2 linked regions of the Astyanax mexicanus genome follow. The protein of the gene in region 2 interacts with the protein of the main gene of each other region in a biochemical or structural test. Links are inferred from orthologs where the notes say so. Each region holds a gene or a part of one and is shown on either strand. Other genes may lie near its edges.

Evidence for each region.
Region 1: the proteins of sh3rf1 (region 2) and akt2 form a complex in vitro, tested with the Homo sapiens proteins (2 studies listed by BioGRID and IntAct, with this or other methods). The link is inferred for Astyanax mexicanus from reciprocal best matches to the Homo sapiens genes SH3RF1 and AKT2.

What each region holds. Positions count from the first base shown.
Region 1 is NC_064416.1:9,373,694-9,377,448, forward strand, and holds the start of akt2 (RAC-beta serine/threonine-protein kinase), read right to left. Parts: upstream 2,339-3,755; 5' UTR 2,241-2,338; intron 1-2,240. UniProt on the Homo sapiens protein: Serine/threonine kinase closely related to AKT1 and AKT3. All 3 enzymes, AKT1, AKT2 and AKT3, are collectively known as AKT kinase.
Region 2 is NC_064408.1:51,217,505-51,221,259, reverse strand, and holds the start of sh3rf1 (E3 ubiquitin-protein ligase SH3RF1), read left to right. Parts: upstream 1-969; 5' UTR 970-1,260; intron 1,261-3,755. UniProt on the Homo sapiens protein: Has E3 ubiquitin-protein ligase activity. In the absence of an external substrate, it can catalyze self-ubiquitination. Stimulates ubiquitination of potassium channel KCNJ1, enhancing it's dynamin-dependent and clathrin-independent endocytosis.

The sequences.
Region 1 (3,755 bases), on a different chromosome or scaffold from region 2:
TAGATCCTACTACTGTTGATTTTAGGAAATGTGTGTTTACACAGTTTTTGACAGATGATAGATCAGTGTAAAGCAGAAACATAAGATTAAAGGCTATAAAAGCTTTAAAGAAGTTGAACTTAAAAAAAAATAAAAAAAAAGATTTTTAGCACAAATGCACTTAGGTTTACGTTCTACCTGACTGACAGCCTCTTGCCTGAATACTCCCATCAACATTAGCTGTGAAGTTTGGCTGGGACACACCAACAAGGAAAGTATGGTATTATAATCCAATAATCCAAAAGGTGATACATAAATATTTCTAAACAGTACAGATTGAAACTAAACCCAATTGGACCACAATTAGAATTTTACAACATTAACAGACAAACCTAAAAGGCAGAACCTAAACAATGTCAACCTGTTGACAATGTCAACTATTGCAGCCATTGATGGATGTCGTTCTGAAGGAATGTAGAAGTTGAAAAACATAACTTGAAAGTTTTAAATGCTTGATTTAAAGTAAAAAAAAGGACAAATAAAAATAAGAATACGTGTTTCACTGCAGTCCTAACTAGCAGATGGCGTTCTGAAAAAGTGTATAACAAGAACATTGAAATGATATTGAAATTATTTAAAATTTGACTTTAACAAGAACTAAATGGACTATGTCGAATAATCTTTGCAGCCCAGTTTAGTTAGAGGATGACGTTGTGAAGAAGTGTAAAAGCAGAAAAACATGAATTTAAAGCTTTAAATGTTTGATTAAAAGTATAAAATGAGTAAAAATAAGAATACGTTTGTAGAATCAACACTGTCGATTATGTAGGCTAATCAATGCAGTCCTAACTAGTGGATGATATTCTGAAAAAAATGTATAACCAAAAACGGATATTGAAATAATTAAAAAGCCTTAAAGTACAAAATGACATAAAAGTAAGAATACGTTTTTTAAAATCAACATTGTCGATAACTTCGACTAATCACTGCATCTCTAACTAGTAGATAATGTTCTAAAGAAGTGTAAAATCAGAAAAACATAACTTTAAAAGCTTCAAATGCTTGATTCAAGGTATAAAATCACAAAAACAAGAATGTTTTTTTATAGTCAACACTGTCCATTATATCAACTTATCACTGCAGTCGCAACTAGTGAATGTCGTTCTAGAAAAGTGTATAAACAAAAAAAGAATATTAAAATTATTTACAATCATTAACGTATAAAATGACTTTAATGAAAATACAACTTTAATGTTTATAGCTAATCAACACTGTGGGCTATGTCGACTAATCGTTGCTGCCCAGGTTAGCTAGTGAATGACGTTCTGAAGAAGTGTAAAAGCAGAAAAACATGACTTGAAATCTTATAAAAATAAGAATGTGTTTTTATAACCAAGATTGTTGATAATGTCGACTTATCACTGCAGTCCTAACTAGTGGATGACGTCCTGAAAATGTGTATAGACAAAAAGGGATAATAAACAGATTTTAAAAGCTTTAAAGTAAAAAAAAAAATACTAAATACTTAATAAAAATATGAATAAAATGTTCATAGCTAAATCAACACTGCGGACTATGTCGACATTCTTGACTAATCGTTGAAGCTCAGGTTAGTGGAAGACTTTCTGAAGAGGTGTAGTGCAGAAAAACATGACTTATAAGCTATAAATGCTTGAGATAAAGCAGAAAATGACTTCAGTACATATCAAAACGTGTTTAACAGGTTATAACTAAAATTGTTACTAAAGTTCGCTTCAAATTCGCTTGCCAGTTCCAACTCTCCATTCCACCTTAAATGGTGCCTCAGGCAACTGAACGCAGCTGCTGCACTATTTAAGGTGGAACGGAGAGTTCGAACAAGAAGCTTGAGAAATTGAGCCAAACACTAAATTTGCATACTATAGTAGTTTACACAGCTCAAAAACAACCTTTGCCGTTAAACTAAGCAAATAACGAACAACTATACACCGAAATAATCCGTTTACACCGGTTTCAGTACGGCACAGTCCACACCACGGCCTGTTAGCATGCTAAGCTAACTAACCCTAACTTCACCGCGCACACAGGCACAGAGCTAATGCTAATGCTAAAGCTAACACTGCGCTTCGCCCGGCCCCCGGCCGGGATCTCCGCTAGCGGGTGGCGGATTACCGGTACAGAATCCCCGCTGATTAAACGTGTTTGTTGCGAGGTTACTGGATATTAGTAATTATTAATATTAGTAATAATCGCGCTGAAACCCCGCGCGCTGCTCCACTCACCGAGCGGCTCTTCACACGGCCACAAACAGGAAGTGACGTTCAGCCAGAGCCCGGACAAAAACAATAATAATACATGGAGCCCTGAGACTCACTCACTCAGATAATACCCTCTGTGAGACTGTGTGCTCTGTACTGAGCCCCTGCAGAGAAACCGTGTATTTATAAGAGGAAAAAAGTGGTGAGTACCACATACTAAGTGGTGAGCACCAGATACTATGTGGTGAGCACCAGATACTATGTAGTGAGCACCGGATATTAAGTGATGAGCACTGGATACTATGTGGCTAGAACCACATAAGTTTTGACCACCACATACTAAGCACCACATACCGACTGGTGAGCACCAGATACTATGTGGCTAGAACCACATACTAAGCATTGAGCACCATGTACTAAGCGTCACATACAGAATCATGAGAACCAGATACTATGTAGTGAGCACCAGATATTAAGTACTTAGCACCACATACCGAGTGGTGAGCACCAGATACTATGTGGCTAGAACCACATACTAAGTGTTGAGCACCATGTACTAAGCACCTCATACTGAGTGGTTAGCACCAAATACTAAGTGGCTAGAACCACATACCGAGGGGTGAGCACCGGATACTATGTGGTGAGTACCAGATAGTAAGTGGTGAGCACCAGATAATAAGTGATGAGCACTGGATACTATGTGGTGAGCACCGGATACTAAGTGGCTAAAACCACATACGTTTTGACCACCACGTACTAAGCACCACATACCGAGTGGTGAGCACCAGATACTATGTGGCTAGAACCACATACTAAGTATTGAGCACCATGTACTCAGCACCTCATACTGAGTGGTTAGCACCAAATACTAAGTGGCTAGAACCACATACAAAGCACCACATACCGACTGGTGAGCACTGGATTTTATGTGGTGAGCACCGGATACTATGTGGTGGCTAGAACCACATACTAAGTGTTGAACACCAGATACTAAGCGTCACATACAGAATCATGAGAACCAGATACTATGTAGTGAGCACCAGATAGTAAGTACTTAGCACCACATATTAGTGGTGAACACTGGATTCTATGTGGTGACTACCAGATAGTAAGTGGTGAGCACCAGATACTAAGTGATGAGCACTGAATACCAAGTGTCTAGAATCACATACTAAGTGTTGAGCACCAGATACTGTGGTGAGCACCAGATACTATGTGGTGAGCAATGGATACTAAGTGGTGCACACTTTCTGTAAATCCTATAAACTTAATTTCACGTCTCAAATATCACTGTGTTCATCTGCTATATGATATATTTAACTGAAATTTCTGATCTGAACAACCAATGATTTATAAAATAAAATCAGGAAAATTATCCGGGGTGGCCAAACCTTTTCATACCAACAAATAAAATGTCTGAACTAATGATTACAGTCCCACCATACTTTTACATCTGCTGCACTTACTTCTACCATGTAACACCAATTTATTTTCTTTATTACTATATTGTAATTCTGTTTCTAATTCCTGTTTTGCTTC
Region 2 (3,755 bases):
CTCCTGTTAATGGCACTCTTTCCATTACTGCCTCTCACTACTGTTATAGGCAAATTAATATGATTGAGTTTTTGTATAGAATTAGCAAAAACATTCTAGTGACTTTCCCAAAATTTGTATTTTAAAAATAATCAAATAAGATCCAAGAATAATTTAGGTAACAGGAATGAGTGTTGAGATTGACCTCCTCAGTAATGGAATGTTAGAATGTTACAGATGTTTCAGAAGGGGAAATGTATTACGGTAACAGGAATGAGTGAAAACCAAGGACACAACTAAAATGTGTATTTTAACTTAAATATTTTGGATTATTATTGAAAAAAAATATTTTTAAAGCATAGATGGGATTTGGTTAAACACAACAATGCAAAAAATTACATCTCTGAAGCATTTTAATAATTAAAGTTTATAGTTAGAGAGTGAGGGACAGGTAACAAATGCTATTTTTCTGTGTCCGAAGTAGTTTTTATTAATGGTTTTAATTAAATATATTACTTTTGGAATTAGGTCAATGTACAATACACTATGCTCAATAATGAAATGTATTTATACATGTCATTTCCTGGGGACAGAAATGGCACTGATTTGGCGGAATATTCCAAATTTGTGTTTACAAACTGAATTTTTGTGTCGGCGGTGACATAAAAAATTCGCCCTCCTGACTGGCAGTTTTCTGCTGGACTGTTTTCTAATACATATCCCCACAGTATCAATGCAGTTTATCATAGTGCCAGTATTTTAACCCCACCTCAATTCAGATAAAGTCCCGCCTCTTGTGTTCTGCCATTGGCTGATAGTAAGTTGCCTTTGGCGTTCGGATTGGTTACTAGTTCATACACAAGCTGGAAAGGCGGTCTTTTTGTGTGTGTAAACTATTGACCAATCCTGAAGCAAGAGATATGAGACTGCTAGCCAATCAGAGGTGAGGAGGGCGGGATTTTCAGAAATACGGGTGGGAAAGAGTCGTCGCGGGGTCTGGATCCTCCTGCTTGTTCCTCGGTCAGTAGAGGAGTCTCGCTGAGTTGGCTCGTGTCTCCGGGTGGAAGACAACAGGAAAACGGGCTGTTTTTGATGGTAAAGACTCAGAGGAGAGCCTGTGAAGTGAGTTTGTGTCTCAGAGCAGGGAACGGAGATTTCGTGGACGCTTTTCTGAGCCACTTTCCCTCAGTTCTGAAGGAACTAGTGCAGGAACAGTTTTGTGGGTGAGGAGGAGGAGAAGGAGGAGCAGCGAGCTGCGGACGGGAGGAGGCCGTGTTCAAGGTAACGTTAGCGAACATTTTCTTTAAAAGCTTCTCAGCAGCGGTTAGGAGGAAAAGCCACCATGTTACCGGTAACTTTACTCGGGATTAAAGTTACTTTTAGCGCAGTTTTAACGCTGGGAAGACGTTATTGGGACCTGACGAAAGAAACACACATTCCCCTTGCTAGTTAACTTATTAAACAGGTTATTTAGTTAGCGTTAGGTTTGTTGTATGGTATGTTAATTTACATTAGCTGAAAGTGTGGTGAATTTCTTGGCTGTGTTTTTTTCTGTTTCTGGATGAAAAAAAATGTTTTGAGTCTGTGGTTAGCTTGTTTTGCGGTTGTGTGGCAGTTAATTTGTATTCTTTTTTATCACTGTTGTTTGACAAATATTTAGTTAGTTAAGGCTAGCTAATTTAGCTGTAGCTAAGCTACATAACACATCCACGCTAGGAAACGCTAGTTGCTAAGGGGAGCCCAGTAACACTGCTGTAGTTGGAGCAGTTACAACACCGGCTAGGTGGCTACACATTACTTTAGCCTGCTGTTTCCCTTCCAGACACCTCCATACTAACCAGATACAGGCTCATATCATCATGTCTGTTGAGCGAAGTTGTGTATTACTGTTTAGAGGGTGACTGCGTCCCTACCTATAACTGAAAAAGTATTAACGTTCAAAAATTGAAAAAAAATGAAAAATAAAAATGCTGTTTCTTTCTGTAATGCACAAAAAAGAAGATTATAATATGCTATTATAAAATGTATATATATATATCAAATAATCCAATTAACAAAATTGTTTTTTTTTTATTTGTATTGCAATGTGTGAAATACTTTATATATATATATATATATATATATATGGCTTCTTTTTCATAAACTATCACTAAACAGTAAAATCAGTACAAATCAACTGTTACTTTCCCCCAGTGGCTACTGTGTTTCCAGTGCAGTGGACGGGGCCAGGCTACTGTTTTAATTGGTTTATAAACTTGTTAATTGGCTGATTTGTGGCCTATTCTGGTGGACAACAGCTTTTAAATAGTCATTATGTGCAACACAACATTTAAAAATAAAGAAAATACATAATGTTCTTTGTAATGGATGCTGGCTCTGAAAGTGGATGCAGGCTCTGAAAGTTTTAAAACATTATTTTTAACAGTCTTAAATGGGCCATTAAGATTCTGCAGTGTTCCTCTAGTACCGTATATAACTAAAAGCTAGCTAGCTACAAAACATCATATATTCAGTCCCACAAAATCTATTTTAGTTACAAAATGTACATACAAAACATTATCCAAATCCCCAGTTAAAAGTCAGTTTAAAGTTATTAGTAATATCATTTCAGTTTTCACACATTCACAAGTATGGAAGATTAAAATTCATGTATCATTTACTGGGTAAGCTATGTCCCATAATATCCCAATTAATGTTCTTCTTATTTTCAGGTCTCAGCTAGCTACTTTATGCAAACTGCACATTGTTTAACTACTTTTCACTTCAGGTACAAATATTATCTAATGTCATATTTCTCGGTATTATTCATATTTGATTACATGCTATTTATTATATATATTTTTAACAAATACGTTTTTTTTTACAAAGTTAGTCCCAGGCATCCCACAGCCAACAACTGATATGTCATATTAAACTTGCTTTAAAAAAAAAAAAATACAAGATATAACGTGTACTAAATTGTGTTTAAGCTGTTGGAGGAACAGTGGGGAAAAAGATGAGAAACCATAGTGGTTGCACCGTAGTTTAGCTACATAAGCTAGTTAGCTAAACTAAGCTAGCTATCTAGTATTGAGCTAGGTTATCCAACTTCTAATCTGGCGTTAATGTTTAAAATCCTGCAGAGAACCAGACACGCACTTTTTAAAATACTAGAAAAGAACAAGATCTTCTTAGTGGCTCTTCTAAAGATGTTTTATGTGTATATTAAAAAGGTCTGAGCTGGTTTAAAGCTGTGTCCCAGTTGCTGATACCGTTTGTTGTGTTCGTAGTATTCGTCCTTAGTAGTTCAGGCACGTAGACTCTCTCCTCTTGAACGAAGCGAGTGGGGCGATAAAAGCGCTGCCAGCTCGTTTCAGTGCCTTCATTTCTCTATCCAGTCCGCCTATACTTTTACTAACGTTCCCCTGGTTCTTGTGGAAGGTTAGAACATGATACTTTACACGGCTCATTGTTCTTTGTTAATGTGGTTTGTGTTTTGTCTTGGGACGGACTGGGAGTCCCTGTACTGCATTCGTGTCAGTTTGCTGTTCCTACTTGTCTCTGTGATATTAGTATGCACAAGAAAGCTGTATGTACTGATGTTTGTGGATACCGGCTCATTCAACGTTTCTTTATGAATTTCTTTATGAAAAAAAAAAAGTATTTTAATGGGAATATTTTGTCCCTTTGCTGCCGGAAAGGCTTTAAAGTAGATGTTTAAACATTGTCGTGGTGATCTAATTGCCTTAACAGCAGTACTAAGGTTAACTACTGATAATAAGTAATTTAAAGTTTTT